Medicago truncatula: one gene and its partner. The protein of the gene in region 2 binds, or shares a complex with, the protein of the main gene of each other region. Links are inferred from orthologs where the notes say so. Each region holds a gene or a part of one and is shown on either strand. Other genes may lie near its edges.

Region 1 (10,578 bases), on a different chromosome or scaffold from region 2:
GACTGTTACCACAATTTAACCTTGTTTAATTTTTATCACTTTTTACATCCAGAACTAGTTTTGACATGTTTGTAATAATGCAGGGCCATAACATGACTGTTGTTGAAGCAGATGGACACTATGTTGATCCTTTTGTGGTTAAGAATCTCTACATATACTCAGGCGAAACATACTCAGTTCTAGTCAAAACTGATCAAGACCCATCAAGAAACTACTGGATCACCTCAAATGTTGTCAGCAGAAACAGAACAACCCCGCCTGGTTTAGGCATTTTCAACTACTACCCAAACCATCCAATGAGGTCACCACCAACATCTCCACCACCTCCACCAGCTTGGGACAATGTTGAGTCAAGACATACTCAAAGCCTTGCAATCAAAGCTCACCAAAATTACACAATCAAACCTCCAACAACCTCAGATAGAGTCATAGTTTTGCTCAACACACAAAACACTATAGACAATGTTCGTCATTGGTCTGTTAACAACGTATCATTTTTCCTTCCTCACACCCCTTATCTTGTTGCACTTAAAGAGAATATAACTGGTGAATTCAACCAAACACCTCCACCTGATGGCTATGATTTTAATAATTATGATATTTTCAGTGTGGCTAACAACACAAATGCTACTTCTAGCAATGGAATTTATAGACTGAAGTTCAATACAACTGTGGATATTATACTTCAAAATGCAAACACTATGAATAAAAATAACAGTGAGACACATCCTTGGCATCTTCATGGACATGATTTTTGGGTACTTGGATATGGAAAGGGAAAGTTTGATGCGAACAAAGACCCAAAAAATTATAATTTGGTGAACCCCATTATGAAGAATACTGTGCCAGTGCACTCATTTGGTTGGACTGCTTTGAGGTTTCGATCAGATAATCCTGGTGTCTGGGCTTTCCATTGTCATATAGAGTCTCATTTCTATATGGGAATGGGAGTGGTTTTTGAAGAAGGAATTGAAAGGGTTGGGAAGCTACCTTCATCCATCATGGGTTGTGGCAAAAGCAAAGGCTTCTTAGGCCATAATTAAACAAGCAATTTCAATTTTTCCTTTGTTACTTTAGAACATCCAATTCTTTTCTTACTCCAAAAGAATCATCATGATATATTTTAATTTTTTTTTAAAATTTTAGTATTATACAAATTGTGCTGGCCTCATTGTATATATTGTAAAGTGTAATTGTAATGATTCCTCAGACTCTTTTCTGTGAAAAATGGTTAGAGCAACTCAAAATTGCATAATTGCAGTAGACTACTACTTCTCTAGTCTCCTCCGGTTACTGTCACTGCCAACTTTCACATGAGTTACATACCAACTTTACAAAGTCAATCCCTTAGGTATATCTTTGACCAAGTAGCTACTTCTATGCAAGCTATCTTCTGTCATTTTCAATACCTACCATTTATTTATTGTATTTTCTTGGTCAAATATGATATGCACCAGCTAGCCCACCATACAGCTGGAATTTTGGATTACCTTGTAATCTAGGAAAGTTTTTTAGATCAACATAGATTTATGGCTTAATTATATAAATGGTCTTTTAAATAATTATGAAATTTTAATTTGGTCCTCTTATTAATTTTCACCCCAATTTAATCCTTTAAATTACCTCCGTCTATCAATTGAATCCATTCTGATAAATCTTGTGGAAAAAACGTTAACATTCATCGTGTTCATCATCAAACCCAACAACATTCATCATCTTCATCAATAAACCCAGCAACATTCATCACCTTCATCATCAAAACTCAAAAAAAAAAAATTTAACTATGCAAATCCTGAAGAACGAATTCCAAAACAAATTCATGAACGTTTTTGGTACAAATCAAGACTAATTCATCAAAATCAAAACGAACTCCAATCAATCGCGTTCTTCTTCTTCGTTCTTCAAAAATTGAGATCTGGGTTACAATGAACAAGTGAATTTGCCTAAAAAGTGTTACCACTGGTCAAGCAATCCTATTTAAGTAACTTCAGAGAGAAAAATTATATTGTATCTCATTATTAAAGTACATAGCTCATTATTCAAGTTCGGTATTTAGCCAACTTGAATTAATCAGTTAGAAGGATTCCTTCCTCCCATTAAATACCTTTCAAAATGTACTGATCATTAACCTTTGCATAATCAAACGAATATTTAGAAGGATTCATTGCACATTTATTTCACTTCAGTAAATAAATTCAAATGGACTCGTTCAATTTGACTTGTTACTAAATCATTTAACCCAAAAATTATCTCTGGACCCTAAATATCACTCTAGCAACTTGGAAGACAACAAGAACGTGCTAAGCAGAAAATATGAATTGATAAACAAGATAATGTCAAGAAAATCTGTAAAGACTAAATCCACAAATTGTTTTATTGAAGAACTATTTAAGCAACATAGTGTAGTTGGATAATAGTGTGAATTAACTACAAATTCAAAGTTTCACTTCATGAGACAAAGAAGTGCAGCACAAACTAAAAAGAACTAAGGAACCGTGTGAATTAGCTACATTAGATGGACAACAGTGTAAACTTATTAACTACAAATTTCATAGAGATTCACTTCAGCAGAGAAAGAACTAAACCGCAATCTTCATCATCATCATCGAAGCATCGCACTCACAGGCCATGGTGATCTTCAATCTCAACCATTGGCTTGACCTGAGGCATGGGAGACACACCTGCTGCAGTAGTGACATCAGCAGCACAACCACCACGTCCATCAGGAGCAGAGCAGGTTTCTTCCGTGGCCTGACCAGCAGAATCTGATACAGTAGCAGCTCTGGCTCCGACACCCGCTCCTTCCGATGCTCCTTCACCTCCTAAGATAGTATCATAAGCAGCCGCAATAGGATTGATATGCGGAAAAGGCAAATACACGCTGTGCACAACAATCTTCACATTGCGGATGACGTCAGCAACCTTAACTCTCACATAGTTAATCCTCATCGGCGCTGATGTCACTCCTCCGCCGGAAGTAGTGATCAGAAGCGGCTGACCTCGCTCCAATGTAGGCAGAGCAGTTCCAACCGGAAGCTTCTCAAGATCGGCGATTGACAAGTAATGATTCGGTATGATATGGAATCGCACATTGCTGATATACGATTGAGAACCGGAGAATATAGAAAGATCATCAACAGCGAAAATAGTCATGTTGTTGAGAGTTATGAGCTCTGCGTATTTTACCTTCATAGCAAGGGAGAGGATGCTGAAACCGTTATTACGGAGCCTTACCATTGCATCTCGTAGCATGAGGCGCATAATAGCAGGGAGCACGGTGGCGCCGGGAGTGTGAACATGAGCACCGGAACGGTGATCAGGATGAAACGGAAAGGAGAGAGAACTCATTCTCTCAACGTCGCAAGAAAACGGAGAAAGCTTAGAGGCGAAACCTTGAAGGCCGTGAACAACAACCATTCCGTTGTTGAATAGATCCGGTTGAGTAATCTCAACGCCTCCGATGAAGACTTTTGGAGCACTGCCGGAAGTGTTGTTCTGATGAATCGACTCGGAAGTGACGGTTACGCAACGGCCGGGACTGAGAGTCTCAATCTTGGTGCCAAAAGCAAGTCGCCGAAGATATTCGATGGTGAATATACCTGGAACTATGTGTTCACGAAGGAGATTCGGAACAGAGCAAGAAAAGCAAGTGCGAAGCGATGCATCAGAGGGAGCGAAAATGGTGAAAGGACCGGTCCAAGCAGGGGAAGTGGTGGTTGCAGCGTCGGAGAGCGACGGAGCGGCGGTTGCAAGCTCGTGAAAACCGAGATGAGACAAGATCGGTGGAAGTAATGCAGTTTGAGAGAAGAACGAATGTTCTTGAAGATCGTGCGGAGGTGGCGGTGGGAATGAAGCTTCGATTCCTTCAGTGGCGGTGACCTCGTCACCGGAAAGCATGGCGGTGAAGAAGATTGCGAAGAAGAGCATAGAGAATCGCATAGAGGAAAAGGTTGAAGAGTTTTCCATGGTGGTTAAGAAGATTCAGAGGTTTCAAGTCTCAAGAGAGTGAATTCGAGTGTGAATTGAATCGAATGAAGATGAATTGCAGGGTGAAGTATTTATATACGCGCGCGCGGGGAAATTAAACGGTTAGAAGAGAGTATTGTAAGCGTGTGAGTTTGTTACGCGGTTGTTATAGATTTAAACGTTTTTGAATCTTAAGAGATGTAAGCATGCGAAAGATATTCATATCTTACTATTTTATTTTTACCTATTAAAATGAAACGAGAAAAATTGAAGCTCTTTTTTTTAAGGAGAAAAATTAAGCTATTTTTTTTATGGAAAAAACTAAGCTCTTATCTACTCTATTTTTTTATTTATATATTAATATCAATATTATCTTAAATGCTTTTTATAAGTGTTTGTGGACCTAAATAAACAATAAACTTTTTATAAGTGTTTAAATGCTGCTGAGTGTCTGAGATTATATTCGAACACATGACTTTAGTTAAGTTAGAAAAGACTCGTATAATCTCATCTAAACATTTTTTAGCATATATTTTTAGTCATATATCAATATGTGTAACTAATTTTTTTAATTTACACACGTGTCTATATTTTTTTCATATATCAATAAGGAGCCTTCTAAAGCCTACAAATACTATAAACAAATTTAACTTAAATGTCTTTTTTAACAATTTCAATAAGTTATATTGCTCTTATTTGACAAGTTATATCTCATTTGAAAATCATTCTCTAATATTATGCGAAGTTGAAAGAGATTGAGTTTGGGTTAAGTAACAATGACATGTTTTTCTTATTATACATTGTAGTTTAGTTTAATTTGGTTGATAAAATAAAATCCGCATGCTAAACTAAACTATATGGTTGAGTCAAAAAATTGTCCAATATTCGAAGCAAATAGAGTTTTTTATGATTTTCAATTTATATTGGTTTTGGAGATAAGGTGGAAAGAGAAAGGTAAAATTATACTTTTAATCCCTTAACTTAATTTCGAATGATAGTTTGATCTTTTATCTTTTTTTTCATTTCAATTTTGTCATTTTAAGTCATTTGCATATGGATTTTCAAGTTTCAAAAATTCATATTTTTATTTTCTTATGACCTCTCAATTTTCAAATATATGGTGTTTTGCATATGAATATTAGATTTGAAGTTTGAAAAATTCATATGCAAAGAACAAAAATGACAAAATTGAAATGAAAAAAATAAATTAAATGCCAAATTGTTATGTTAAATTAAGTTAAGGGACTAAAATGTAATTTTGTCTCTATAAACTTGCAGATTTTTTTTTTGAGTGATGAAACTTCCCAGAAATTTTTTATTTGTGTTTTTGAGCTGATATATATTGATTATTATAGATTAATTTGAGCCACATGGTGTAGAAAGGATGGTATGCCAAATGGAGTTACTCATATCATCAGTCTTTGATATATCCTTAGAGAACTATACACACACACACTAAGATAGAAAATGGCACTCTCATTCTCACTCTGTTCAGGCACAACCGTTCATAACCGTTTTCCTTCTTGTATGAAATTGAATGGTAAAAGTTATAAAGTATCCGATAAAGTGTTATGTTCTGCACGTAACGGTAACGAAAAGAAGCCGTTAGTGGGAATTGGTATTGGAATTGTAGCAGCATGGGTAATGGGGTTAACAGCGTTGGATGCAGATGCAACGAGAATTGAATACTATGCTACTGTGGGAGAACCAATGTGTGAGCTTAATTATGTTAAATCTGGGCTTGGTTACTGTGATTATGTTGAGGGTTTTGGTGATGAAGCTCCTTTAGGAGAGCTTATTGATGTAAGCTGTTTATTACTCTTTTACTCATTTTCTATATGCAAAAATTTAATTAGTTAATTAACGATTGATATTGTTATTATTATACATTGCAGATTCACTATACAGCTAGGTTCGCCGATGGAATAGTATTTGATAGTAGTTATAAACGTGCTAGGCCTTTAACTATGCGTATTGGTGTTGGCAAGGTGGATAAGTTTTTCTTACAGTTAAATTGATTTGGCTATGTATTTTTTATGAGTTTGTAATTATAAGGTTCAATGGGATTTTCAGGTAATAAGGGGATTGGATCAGGGAATTTTAGGGGGTGAAGGAGTACCTCCAATGCGGATAGGTATTAAATTTAATTTGAAGTGTTTAAGTTTCATTGTTCATAGTATATGACACTTTCTAAATTTATTTACTATTTTTACTTAGGTGGGAAACGCAAACTCACGATTCCTCCATTGTTAGCGTATGGTCCTGAACCTGCAGGCTGTTTCTCAGGTCTCATTCATTATTAATTATTACTGTGTTATTATGTAATTTGCTACTAAACATGGATAACTACTTTAATCAAACCTGAAACTCAAAAATCTAGTAGACACGTGGATGAAGAAATGAATCATTAATTGTGTATTTGGTCATATGCATTGCGCGTATGTGCCCCGGTATATTTTCTACCACTGTAAAAAAAGTAGCTACAGTGCTATGGAATTTAAATAAATTGCTATTGGTTCGTGATACGCTGTTTAGAACAAAGTGATGTCAAATAGTAGCTATGAAACTCTGTAACTTAATAGAGTTTGAACAAACTGCTATATTCCACGATCTACACTTGAAAACACTTTTTTCTACTTACACAGCTGAATTTGTTTTTGTGTGCTTGTCTGTGTGTTTTTCTCAATGGAAAGGAGTATAAGACCATGGATTTTATTAGGCTGGGAAGATATTGAATGCAATCTTATTATTATCAGAAGAAGAGAATCATTATCATTAAATATGTTAGATTTTGACAGTTTTGTCGCTGATTCAATAGGTGACTGCAATATACCGGGTAATGCAACTCTTCTGTATGATATTAAATTTGTTGGTCTTTATTCGGGCAATCGAAGTCAATGAAGACAAAATTGATCGAATACGTATACGTATATGAACCGCACGTGGATTAGGTGAGTTTCCTGATCTTTTGAGAATATTTTATTCTTAGATTAGATAGACAAATACTACCCAGCACTCAGATTGTTTTATCCAGCTTACTTTCTGTTTGCTCTCCAGCTAAACATGTTTGTTTACTTTTCACATTATCATAATTGTAAGAAAATGCTTCCAATATTGACCATGATCAGGAAGCTTTTATGCATATCTAGGTATATGCAGAACCTTCATGAGAAAACACAGTATGCAACATTAAAATTAGCTGTCACACATGATCATGGTTAAAGCATATGCTACTTAAAATTTTGACACAGGGTCCTTTGTGACCATTTTTCTTGTGCAATATACAAAATGATGTTTGAACTCAGATGCAAACTAGTTAAATTCATCATTATTAACCTTATCCCAGTGGCTTGACTTATTCATCAAATTTACAACACTATACTGTTTGACGACCGAGTGATATTTAAGATGAATGAGGTTTTGTTTACTCCCTCCGTCCATATATGTAAGCACCTTTTGCCTCTAATAAAAGGGTGCTTACATATAGGGACGGAGGGAGTATAATCTAATCGATCTTTTATAAAGTTGCGTCAGATAATCTACTCAGATAAAAGTAGACTTGCATATTTATAAACTAAAACATTTTTCTATGGAATAATAAAATGCCTTTAAAACTATAATGATATGCTGGTATCCATGCATTCTCTGATCTTGATTATCTAAAAATAGGGATAATCATTATTTTTAATAATTTTTTTGACTGGTTATTTTTAATTGTTTTAGAGTAATGAAATGGACTTTTTTTGCTGGTGAGTGTGGATCGACTTGTTAGGCAGATTCTCCTTCCTGGTTCCAGCTCTCTCAAATTACTATTCCTGTTTAGTGCAGTCCGACATGATTCACCTGAATAGAATACCCCTTTTAAGAGTAAAGAGGATCCAACCCTGGTGCGGTGATATATATTAGACATGTCTGGTAACATGATGCAACTTTTTGTATCTTTATTGTAAATGTAATTTTCAATAGTACACTCTGAATGATGAATTAATTAATTCTTTATATGATAAATGTTATCCCCTATTACTTGTATCTTTAATCCATTTGATCTTTTTCCTCTATGTGCTGTCTGCAATGAAATGCCAAAGATGAATCATGATTTTGGATGGTTAACAAATGAATAGTTAAAATGTACAATTTCTTGGCAGCTATGTTGACTTGATCAACCATTCTTTGGGTTTATCATTAGAAATATGTTCCTAATGATATCCTAAATTGTATGCAAAATTTCTTTAGAGTATTGTTCAACTTGGTAGGCAAAATTCTGGTGAATCCTCTAAACTATACCGCTCAAGAACAATTCTGTTGAATCCTCTAGTCTGCACTGCCCTGAGTTACATGTGCCTTTACACTTTGTTAGGATCTGGGAAAGGAATAGGGAAAACGGGAAAAGAGCAAAAGGGATAAAGCTAATTTCTGCTTCACGTTGATTAAAAGAAGAGGATATGCCTTCCTTGAAAATTGTTTTACTTGTTAGCTCCTGCTTCTTTTGTTTTGAATTTATCTTCAAGAATGTATGCTTTTTTCCTAGGTGAGAGGGGCCAAATGTTCCAGAACTAGGGAGCAAGCAATCGTGCAGATTAGGCAAAATGAAATGCCAAATGCTGATAATGTTTGTACTATTGGAAAATGAGTGAACCTGAACCCTATAACTTTTGAGCCTTTAACAGTTACATGCACCCTCCTTTATGTGTGCCCTTCATTTTTTATTATGGTGTGACCTGACCTTCGTTAAGAACTAAGAAGTATTGAGGTTGCGTGTTTTACCCCTCCTATAGTGATCTAATTACTATTTTTCCTCCTCAACTCCAATCACACAAGAAAAGTTAAAAACTTTAATCACACATTCAGACATGTTTTCTTTATTTACCATTTCAACCCTGCAGGCCCTATTTATTTGCAATTCACATGATTGTTTTACTTTTCTACCCAATCCAGCTTTCCTTTCTGGGAGAAAGAAGGACATAGCAGAGACAAACAATTTCCTATCCTAGGTCAAGTCCAAGGGCTCAAAATTAGCTACTGTAAAACTGAAAGCAGGTACAGTGTACAGTTCTGGAAAACTAACAAAATTAGGAAACAAAAGCAATGATAACAGCAACGTCTCTTCTCATCCTTTTTCATGTTAAGAAAAGTCCATAATGTAGGATAACGAGCTTGAAAATTGACCAGAAAAAGTAAACTAGAAAAATTAAAAAAAATACTAGATTAAAATTTGAAAAATTTACAGTGCCAAGCTTAGAAAGAAAAAAAACATCTGTTTTGTCTACATGATAGAACATGCATTTGGGTTTTCATCACTGAACATGTTGACATAAGGGTCTTCATATTTTGTCATGGTTCCAGTGGTTGGAGCATTCTCCACTCTCCTCACATAACCAGGAGGAGCCTTCTTGTCATAAGAAGAAACAGCATATGGTTGAGCCACCAAGTTGTATGGCACATAAGGCCAAATTTCAGCCTTCTTCCCTGTTGACTTAGCCTTCTTCAGCACCTTGTTTGGATCCACAAACCCAGTCACAGTCACTTTTTGCTGTTTACGGTTTATATCCACTGATTGTACCCCTGCAATCACCATTTCATTTCAGCAACTTCATGTTGAAAATGATAATATAAAATGATGAAAAGTTAAAAAGAATGTTACTTTACCACTTAGTGAAGATAGGGTTTTCTTGACCTTAAGCTCACAACCATCACAGTCCATTCTAACCTTTAGCTCCACAGTTTGTAACTGCTTCTTCTTCTTCTTGAGGTGGTGGTGACCACTGCTCACTAGATCAGACAAATATTCCAAAGTGCCACCAACTCCCATTTCTGTATATTCAAAAGTAAAATGGTTACTGAAATGGTATATACATGAAAATAAAATGAACACAGCTTGCCAATTTATATAGAACTTATTTAGTTTAGTGTCTCAAAGAAGACAAAAACTATAAACTAGAGATTACTGAAGTAGATTGAAAAGAGTTTTTATGAGAGTTGTACAGGGGAGCATGTATATGTTTGTTGGTGGATTTTGTCTTAAATGTATAGAGCATGATTTTTTATTGAAAAATAAAAACGAGGAAAGCAACTCAGGGAGTTCTGAAACAGAACATGCTACAAGGAACTTTCTTTATGGAAAAAATGGATTCCTTCCTTACCTTGCAATTATGGATAAATAATGCTGCTCTTGTGAAGAGCTTTTTTTGGGTGAATATTGTAAAGAGCCTTTTACTTTGGTTTGAGCTCGTATGCATATGCCTACTTATAGAGAGCTTCCTAGTGATATTTGAACAACCATTTTAAACAATTTTTGTGACAACTTCTTTTTTCTCACTTTTCATTGGTCAAAAACAATGAAGAGAGAAAAATGAAGAGAGAGAATAAAAACATACTACCTCCGTTCCTTTTTAATTGTTACATTTTGACATTTTATACAAACCAAGACAATCAACAATTGATACTACTTTTGATGCAATAAGCTATACTTTTACTATAATGACCTTATTCATTTAATATCTCATTTCATATATTTCTATCTCCGTAGTAAATAACTAAGGATAATATTGGTAAAACAACATTTAATGTTGCATTGAAAGTGACAGTTAAATAGAAACAAAATTTTTCTCCAAA
Region 2 (10,147 bases):
GTTGTCGTAATAAAAACTCAGAATTATAAAAGATAATTTTATGGTTTTGAGATTTAAATAAACACAAATTTCAATTTAAGTAAAACAAACATTTCAACTTCATTTTATCCGAACATATTTTATTTTAAAATTTAACTCTTCAAACAAAAAACCAAAAACTCAAAATCATCTTAGGGTGTGTTCGGTAAAAAAAAGCTATAAGCTAGCTGATAGCTGATAGTTGAAAAGCTAGCTTATAGCTGATAGCTTATAGCTGAAAAGTTAGCTGATTAAAATTAAAAGTGTTTGGTAAAATTAGCTGTTGAAGTGACTATAAATATAAAATGACATAAAAGGACATGCTTGTTTAATTTTTTTTAATATCATATATATAATTTTTATTACTTAACATGTTTATTTTTAAATATTTAAATATATTTCAAATTATTTTCATTTCCAAAATAATAAATGTATTTATGAATTCAATCGAATTTTTTTATTTAACAATTTTTCTTTTATTTTTATGAATTTTATTTAACTAAACTTGCTTCACTATTATAAATTTTATATAAAATTATATATTATATGAATTATGAGCAAAGTAAAAAAAAAACAAAAAAGTGGACAAGAAAATTTAAAAAGCCATACATGGTAAATGTAGTTAGTTTAAGAAGATAGTGGGTAGTTTTTTTTTATTATAATAAAATAAAATAAAATTAAGAAAAGGTTAAAATGGGAAGAAAGTATAAAAAGCTACAAGCTATAAGCTAAAAAGCTACTTGGATTAGCTTCTTAAAAAACGCTATAAGCTAGTGAGAAAAGCTTTTTACCAAACACATCTCATTTTATCAAAACAAGCTTATAAGCTAGTCCAACAAGCTATAAGTTAGCTTTTTTGTGTTACCAAACACAGCCTTAAACAACCACTTAGTTATTTTTGGACGGGGTTAAATAAGTTTTTTGTCCCTATAAATATAATCAATTTCGTTTTTAGTCCTCATAAAAAAAAAGACATGTTTGGGTTTCTATAAAAAATTTCAACACGTATTTTTAGTCCCTATTAAATTAAAATTTGTTGAATTATGCCTATAATTTTAATTTTCTAAATGATTTTTCACATACTTGTTTAGAAGCATCATAAAAAGTTCTCCCGCAAATAATTAACTTAAAATTTGATTTTTTGGTCCAAATTTTCATCTATTTTATCTTGAAATTTTGAAGTTTTAAAAAAAAATTCATATTTACTTCATATCATGTTATAAAGTTCTAATTTTTATATAAGAGTTTCTTATAATGTTGTTAAGATGTCCATAAAAAATTATTCAAATATAATTAAACAACTTTTAATTTAAGAAATTAAAACTACGTGTTGAATTTTTTTATAAGGACTAAAACCTTTTTTTTTATGAAGAATAAAAACAAAATACGCTATATTTATAGGAACTTAAAACTTGTTTAACTTTTGGTGTATCCTCTTGCTCAAACAACTTATAAAATGTATTCAAAGCTTTCGTAGATAAGATTCATCAACAAAAAACATAGTATATAGATGGATGTTAACACAACACATTGAAAACGATCCAAATTAAAGCATGATGTTATTAAAATGAGAATGACATTGCAAGATTACTTCTTACACAAATAAAATAGTTGCAAGTAGTAATTTCTTATTCACACACGAAACATTCCATCATCTGAAAAATTTCCTAAATATCTCGTTTTAACAAAAATTAAATTCCCCACCCACCCATAAAATTAATTATTACCACAATTTAACTCCCATACACAGTCCTTTTTTTTATACAAAGTTGACCACCACTAACCCATTCAGACTGCATAATCTAATACAAATATTAATTATACAACTATATAATGTTTTTACCTCAAAATATAGATAATTAAACAAGTAAGAAAAATCAATGAATGGGGATATATTTCTTATTTCTTACATTCGTCAACTAATAATAATGTTAACATTTTATTATTACATGAAAAGTGGGTCCAATGGTCAAATTGAAAAAGCATGAAATGAAACATTGTTATAGCAAAATCTTGTTAAAAAAGTCACATGTTTAATGATGCTTTTAACCGAAAAGTTATGGTTGAAGCGTGTCCCTCCTCTTCTTCCCTCCTCCTAACTATTGTTGTTGTAGCATAGGGTGGTAGCTTCAAAACCAAACCTTAGTTCATGACACAAACCTTTGTGTTGTGTACGCTATATCACACAACCTAGTTCACTCACACACACACAAACAAAACAAAACAAAAAAAACATCATAGTACTTTGTCTCTGATCATGATCATCTGAAGAAAAAAAAAATGCAAAAAACTTGTGATGAGGGTGGCTCCGATGGCCGGACGGTGGTGGTGGGAGTGAAAATGGATTCACCAAGCAAAGAGCTTCTTACTTGGGCTTTGGTTAAAGTTGCTCAACCTGGTGATCTTGTAGTTGCTCTGCATGTTCTTGGGACTAATGGTGAGTGATAATTTTCATTTGTTTTTATTTTGTTGAGGTTTTTATGATGATTGATATGTGAAATGGGTTTGTGTAGAAATTGTGAATGGAGATGGGAAATCATCGTTGCTTTCTCTTGTTAAGGCTTTTGACTCTGTTCTTAATGTTTATGAAGGATTCTGTAATTTGAAGCAGGTTCAATTTCTTATTCCTCTTTTGAATTTTTTTAATTTGTAAAGATGAATATGAAAATTCATTTTCAGTCATCAAATTGATTACAAATGGTTAATGCATAAAATTTAATATTCTCACCTCCAATTATGATCCTAATAAGCAAAAAAAATAAAAATCAGTTACATTATTTCCTGTTTAAGTTTTTGTTTTTGATTTTCAATTTTGTAGGTGGATCTTAAACTAAAAATTTGCCGTGGATCATCGGTGAAGAGAATTTTGGTACGAGAAGCAAATGCTTATTCTGCATCTCATGTTATTGTTGGAAGTGTTCATGGTTTTCATAGAATTCGGTCATCTAGCTCTGTAGCTAAGTATTGTGCTAAAAAGTTATCCAAGGACTGTTGTGTTCTTGCTGTGAATAATGGAAAGGTTGTGTACAAGCGTGACAGCTTGGCAGCATCAACTGTTGCTGATGTACAAGGTTTTGGATTTTTCTTAGTTTTGGTTAATGTGGATCTCATGATTCATGAACTCAATTTAATTTACAGTTATTGATTTTGTTTTTTTGCTTTTGAAAGGGTTTGATCGTCAACGTGGAAATGGTTTGCTTGGTTCAATTCAATTGACACATGGTTTGCTTGGTTCGATTCAATTGACACTCAGTAAGAATACAAAAGTACTTAATGCTGATACTGATGAGGGAACTCGACGGATTTCGGATCACAGTTTAGCTAAGGTTTTACTGGATTCTACAGAAAATGTTAGACATCAGAGTTGCTCAATTTGTGGCTCATTGAAAGACACTTCTTGCCATCAATCTGCAGAAGAGCCTTCAGAAGGATCTGAAGTCTCATCTGGTGATGGTGGAAATGAGAATTCTTTGGCAATAGTCCCTGTACAGACAACTGATGCAGGGCAGCTTGAATTGAAACCCGGTTGGCCACTACTACGTCGGAATTTTTTACCAGACCGGCAATTACCTGATAAACTGTTCACGCGGGACCAGATCTCTGTGGTTCAGTGGGCAATGAGGTTGCCGCGTAGAAATCTTTCATACCATGTTGATCATGATAAACAAGTTAGTATTTGTGATAAAGCTCAGGGTCAATCTGTGGCTTTAGATAGTGAAAGTGGTGCCCTTATTCCAGTAGATTCGGAAATGGGGAAAACTTATTCGTCGCCTGAATGCAATTTAAAAAGTATTCCAAAAGAATTGGAGGGCCTTCATGAGAAATACTCATCAACTTGCATATTGTTTGAGTACCAAGAACTTGTATCAGCAACATCAAATTTTTTGCCTGGTTTGTTTCTTAGTATTAATTAAGTTTGACTGTGTTCGGTTTTAACAAAACCATTTTATTTTTAACAAGATTATTACAAATATGATTTCAGAAAATTTTATTGGGAAAGGAGGAAGTAGTAAGGTTTACCGAGGCTGCCTTCGTGATGGCAAAGAACTTGCTGTCAAGATCCTAAAGCCTTCGTATGATGTTTTGAAAGAGTTTCTTTTGGAAATAGAAATCATCACCACATTGCATCACAAAAACATTATTTCCCTCATCGGGTTCTGCTTCGAGAATGGCAATCTACTCTTGGTCTATGATTTCTTATCAAGAGGAAGCCTTGAAGAGAACATTCATGGTAGACAAATATACCTTCCAACACTCCCTTTAGTTTTTCTATGTGATCAAAATTCAAATAACATCATACTTATTTCTTTTCCATGCTAAATTAGGGACTAAGAAAAACCCTCGCGAGTTTGGTTGGACACAGAGATATAAGGTTGCAACAGGCGTTGCTGAAGCTTTGGAATATCTGCATTGTAAAGACGATCATCCCGTGATTCATCGGGATGTAAAATCATCCAATGTATTACTATCTGAAGATTTTGAACCTCAGGTATTTATCTATCTTCCGATTGATTGGCTTTTAATATTTCGAATTATTTGTATTAATCAATCCTTATGCTGGTCTGCTTTGATTTTATTCAGCTCTCTGATTTTGGATTGGCTACGTGGGCATCAACTTCATCATCTCATATAACGTGCACAGATGTTGCTGGAACCTTTGGGTTAGTAATTTGAAATCCATCAAAAACTTATCATCCGTTCTTATCCATACATGCTACAGAAAACGTTTTTAGAGCGATCCTGAATCATGTATTGCACCTGTTTATGCAGTTATATGGCTCCTGAATACTTCATGTACGGCAAAGTAAATGATAAGATCGACGTCTATGCATTTGGTGTTGTGCTTCTTGAGCTTCTTTCAGGGAGAAAGCCCATAAGTGTTGATTATCCGAAAGGTCAACAGAATCTTGTTATGTGGGTATGTGTCAGTGGTTATGTACTTACTTCCTAATCATTATGTATTATGGCAAAAATAATCGAAAAGATATTTTGCAGGCAAGTCCACTTATAAATAGTGGAAAGGTGTCACAATTGTTAGATCCTAGTTTGGGTGATAACTATGATCATGATGAGATGGAAAGAATGGTATTAGCAGCCACTCTTTGTATCAAACGTGCTCCAAAAGCTAGGCCACAAATGAGCATTGTAAGTGGCCCACTATCATCTTTATTCTTTATAGCAAATTGAGCCATTCATGTCATGTACAATGGACATGAAAAATTCCTTTTTTGTTTAGCTTTTCCTAAATAATGTGGTACTTGAATTCTATAGCATACTTATTAACTTTATTTTCTTGTTCTAGTAATGGATTCTCTGCAGTCAGAAGTGACTGCAGAAGTGATCTCAGCCCTTAAAAAAATTTAGAAGGTCCATATAATTTTGTTTTAACTGTCAACTGTTTGATTATTTTCAATGGCCGTGATTTACATGCTTGTGTGAATTTACGATTCCCTGACTGCAGGGAATTGAGTCCTTCGAGCACCATCAAAAGTATTCTTATTCCCTTCATTAGTCCTTTGTCCGTTGCAATTCTCATGTATTCTATTGGACCACAGGTTTCAAAGCTACTTCAAGGCGATATTGATGCAATCAAGTGGGCAAGACTAGAAGTCAATGCTTTGGAAGCGCATGAAATGCTCGATGATGAAGTATGTCCACCAAGTAATATACAGTCACATCTTAATCTTGCACTGCTTGATGTGGATGATGACTCACTCTCCATGTACAGTGTTGAGCAAAGTGTTTCATTAGAGGACTACTTGAGAGGCAGGTGGAGCCGAGCATCAAGTTTTGACTGAGCAAATTACAGCATATATTGCTTGCTACAATTTTTTTTATTCTTCTATACTTTTTATTTTAATATCTTGTAGATACTGTTTTCCTTTGCATCTTAATATAGCTTTGGCATATTCATGGTTTTTCTTAAATGGGGGGTTTAGGATGAGAGGTTGTTTGTATGTGCCCTCCTCCTTACCTTAATAATTAGGAAACTATGCCTCCTCAATTTGTTGGGCTAGTACCCCTTTTTTCATTATACTTCAAATGCTGTCTAGTTTTGCTCCATTGAGTTTTGTATAGGATGAGAAGTTGTATTTTAGAGTATTAGGATCATTGCTCTTAATCCTAATAATACGACAACAATTTTGTCGCTTGGATTCTTCCATATGTAATGTAATTTGACTTAATGCATGTTTTGATTTACTGTGAATTTAACGGAGTTAGGGTGTGTGTCACCGTGATTTTAACAAAAAGAATACTTTGAGGCTTCAATAAAATGACAGTACTACCATAATTTCATCAAATTCACTATCATTCAAACATGCACTTAAATATCATTTGTCTTGCAACCTCTTCATGCATATTTAGTTTCTCTCTGGAGATATGTCCGTATCAGGTACACTTATACAATGCTGGGCACCAAAATGGTTGAGAAATGGCCAATTGGTAAAAAATCCAAAACTGTAAGAAAATAATGTGTAGTTTCCAAAATAAAGTAAAAAAGAAAGAAAATAAAAAAATTGTAATAATGCAATGGTGGGATTATTTAAGGATATATATACAGTGTATATTTTAAAACTCATAATAAACCATATGCATGGGTAAAATTGGAAATTGCTCTTTATTTCCTGTATTTCTTCTGTGACCACAAACATTTCCTTCCAGTTATTATGTAACAAATCTTATCCATAGCAGAAGGAGTGAAGCTAAGCAATATGCACACTAATAAGTCCCACTTGTAAGTACTTGTTGGCCATTAAAGGCAAAAAACACCACTAAATCAAACATGGCCACAAGTTGTTCCTACATGGTTTCTACCAAATTATCCATACTAGGTTGGACAGGAGGAAGAAGAAAAGAAGTAAGAAACAGAACTCCATTTTTCATATCAGCTCAACAACAATCTGATGTTAAGGAAACAGATGGTGTGAAAGTAGGAGAAGAGAAAGAAATACCACAAAATCAACAAATTAATCCAAAAGGAACAAAACCAAGGCCAGTTGAACCTCAGGTGATTGTAAAAGATCAAGGCATGACCAGGGAATACGGAGGACAGTGGTTGAGTTGTGCCACGCGACATGTGAGGATCTATGCAGCTTATATTGATCCAGAAACTAGTGCTTTTGATCAAACTCAGATGGATAAACTTACTCTTATTCTTGATCCTACTGATGAGTTTGTGTGGAATCCTGATACTTGCAACTTGGTTTATTCTTACTTTCAGGAGCTTGTGGATCACTATGAGGTAGTTTCCTTAAACATAGTCAAATATATACAATAGTTTTTGTCTTAGAATAGTTTCATATATACTGAATTCACATATACTATAATTCAAGACTAGCATGTAGGCTTCTGCTTAGCAAAATATGTAGAAAAAACATGAAAACTGATGCAAAAATAAATTATCAATACATGGATAGATAATAGTCTATGCTTAAATTTAAGATTGAGAGCTCAAGTGGTTGATGAACTCTAGTTAAAAGTGAATTGTTCGGAAGTATTCGAGTTCAAATCCTGACGAGAACAATTCTTAGTCAGACCACTTTATTTACCTTTCAGGCAAACTCTGGATGGTTAAGATAAAAAAAAAAGTTCTACACTTGGCGGCCATAATTAAAGACAAAATACAAAATTTGTTTATAATTCCGTTGCTAAGTTTTAGAAATATTAACAGGAGAACTATTTTATTTTTTCTGTATCTGGTTTATTAAATTTTGTAACAGTGCTAGTTGTTAATCCAAAAACCTAGGAGAAGGAAAAATATAATTAGATTTTAGTTAGTATGTGCTAGTTTTGAGCCAATTAAGTGTTAGAATTATATTAACCTTTTTGATAATTGAAAACAGGGTGCTCCATTGAATGAATACACACTTCGCTTGATTGGTTCAGACATAGAGCATTATATAAGAAAGTTGTTATATGATGGAGTAATCAAGTATAATATGAATGCAAGGGTTCTGAATTTCAGCATGGGGAAGCCACGGATCATGTTCAACAACAATGATATCCAACCTGAAGATGCAAGTACTTGAGAAATAATTTGTGAAACACACCAAGAAAAGTGAGCAAATCATTGATGTTTTTTGTGTATGATGAATCAGTCAGATATGTTATTACAATTACTAGTTCTTTAATTTGTAAATCATCAAAGATAGAATAAAAATCTCTTGTCCAATATCAGATTTTTTTTGGGGTTGAGTAAAACCAATGCAAATGCTCAAAATAAGTAAGAACATCAATAATAAAAGTTATGAACAAAGATTAAAAATAGTCCTCTTAGCTAGCTAATAAGCATTCATGCTAACTTGTCTCTTAGTGGACTTGACCTAATAGTTTAAACAATGTAAAGAGGTCTCCACTATTAATCAAAGAATCAAACTCGGTGATATGTTGTTGAGAATGCTTAAAGTCATCGACCACAAACTTGATATCCATCTCAAAAAGCGCATCTATTAAATGTCAAGAGGAGAGCCCTAGTGGAACATCACATTGGATCAAGAGCAAGTTGGACACCAATCTTAATTTAAAATCTTAAGGTATTATGTATATTAGTCCTCTAACTTATATATTTTTCAATATTCAGTTATCCATTTAATATGGAGTTTCTGACTCGCTTGTTACACAACAATCTTCCTATCAAGTGGAAGCTTTTTCATTCCATTTGCATTGCCATTGCCACAACATCAATGAAATAGACCATCGAACGATTATTGTCAGAAAGACTTTCGATACAAGGAGTTTGATCCTTTAGTAACTATCGTCTTTGTTATTGTTATTGGGTCATGAGGGAAGGCATGATAGATCATCACAAAGGAGAATGTATTGGTTCTCAAACTTTAAGATAAAAATATTGAAATGGTTACACATAACATTGTGATTTGATTCAAACCTTATTTTCAAGATTTCATTAATTTTTATCATTTTGCTTATATATATCTAAAATCTTTTTGCAGTAGTGATATATCTACAATCTTTTAAAATAACTTAAATTGACCAAATTTTGCTTGAACACAAATATAAATAAAAAAGGTTTAGCCACATCCACTTAAATGAAGAAAAAAAATTAATCATATTATTCAATTTTTTTAATTATATATGTGTCTAACCATTTTTTATCTGTGTTTGCGGAAAAAATAATTTATCCTTAAAATTTTGGTCATAAGGACAAAAAAAAAAAAAAAACTTATCTAAGTTGTTTGTACTAGGGTGCCACGTGCGTGGTATGGGCCCAGTTAACAACCGAAGGTGAACCGTGGCTTGAGGTGAAATGTAAAAATTAGATCGACATAATTACTACCGGCACGACAACGCTGATAAAACATTTGATTTGACATCACCTACGTTGGTGTCTTTGTCTCTTTTATTATTCTGTTTCTTCTTCTCCACCGTGACCGTCTTCCACTCTCACTCTCGATCTCAATTCCACCATGGCTTCCTCCCTCGGCGACAATTTCAACCTTCTCTCCCCGAAACAGGTTCCTTTCTATTTTCTCTAATCTTTTTCATATTTCAAGTAACCCTTCTCATTCTCGTTCTTCGAATCAGCAAGAGTTGGTGAAGATACTATTGAACAATGGCCAAGACCATCTCTTCCGCGATTGGCCGGCACCCGGCGTCGACGACGATGAGAAGAAAGCATTCTTCGATCAGGTTTCAATTCAATTCAATTCCCATAGCATAGATAGATCTGTTCTTTATATATATATATATATATATATATATATATATATATATATATATATATCTTATCTTATCTAAACGACACTCCGTTTTTTGTTTCTTAGCTTGTTCTACTCGATTCTAGCTACCCTGGTGGTTTGGAATCTTATATCAATAACGCCAAACGACTCTTGGCTGATTCCAAAGCTGGAACTAACCCTTTTGATGGCTTCACCCCTTCCGTAAGTCACAATTATCACTTTTCTTATATTTCTTTCTTCCTCTTTATTTATTATATTTTCAACATTCCACATTTTAATTACTATACTATTCAATTTTAAGATTAATTTCCATGCAATGTTGGTGTAAAACTTTTTACACATGCATCCAGTCAAAGTGTCACTTTTCTTAAAATATCTCCAAAATTATCTGTATGACATGATCTGTTCTTTTGTGCATGTTCGTGGAATGG

What was found.
Region 1: NAD(P)H-quinone oxidoreductase subunit M, chloroplastic (region 2) and photosynthetic NDH subunit of lumenal location 4, chloroplastic share a complex: the UniProt entries of both Arabidopsis thaliana proteins name them as parts of the chloroplast NDH complex. The link is inferred for Medicago truncatula from reciprocal best matches to the Arabidopsis thaliana genes NdhM and PnsL4.

Annotation. Positions count from the first base shown.
Region 1 is NC_053049.1:42,220,537-42,231,114, forward strand, and holds photosynthetic NDH subunit of lumenal location 4, chloroplastic, read left to right. Parts: upstream 1-5,341; 5' UTR 5,342-5,433; coding exon 5,434-5,769; intron 5,770-5,861; coding exon 5,862-5,954; intron 5,955-6,039; coding exon 6,040-6,100; intron 6,101-6,183; coding exon 6,184-6,252; intron 6,253-6,659; coding exon of another isoform or gene 6,660-6,667; exon of another isoform or gene 6,668-6,770; intron 6,771-6,784; coding exon 6,785-6,867; 3' UTR 6,868-6,917; intron 6,918-7,689; 3' UTR 7,690-8,002; downstream 8,003-10,578. Other genes in the region: L-ascorbate oxidase, read left to right, coding at 84-1,043; heavy metal-associated isoprenylated plant protein 23, read right to left, coding at 9,230-9,528, 9,613-9,777, 9,950-10,001. UniProt on the Arabidopsis thaliana protein: NDH shuttles electrons from NAD(P)H:plastoquinone, via FMN and iron-sulfur (Fe-S) centers, to quinones in the photosynthetic chain and possibly in a chloroplast respiratory chain.
Region 2 is NC_053044.1:43,822,176-43,832,322, forward strand, and holds NAD(P)H-quinone oxidoreductase subunit M, chloroplastic, read left to right. Parts: upstream 1-6,692; 5' UTR 6,693-6,802; coding exon 6,803-7,261; intron 7,262-7,862; coding exon 7,863-8,048; 3' UTR 8,049-8,196; downstream 8,197-10,147. Other genes in the region: probable receptor-like serine/threonine-protein kinase At5g57670, read left to right, coding at 2,299-2,455, 2,532-2,629, 2,837-3,089, 3,187-3,909, 4,001-4,249, 4,344-4,507, 4,600-4,679, 4,789-4,936 and 2 more; UDP-sugar pyrophospharylase, read left to right, coding at 9,444-9,491, 9,562-9,666, 9,801-9,917. UniProt on the Arabidopsis thaliana protein: NDH shuttles electrons from NAD(P)H:plastoquinone, via FMN and iron-sulfur (Fe-S) centers, to quinones in the photosynthetic chain and possibly in a chloroplast respiratory chain.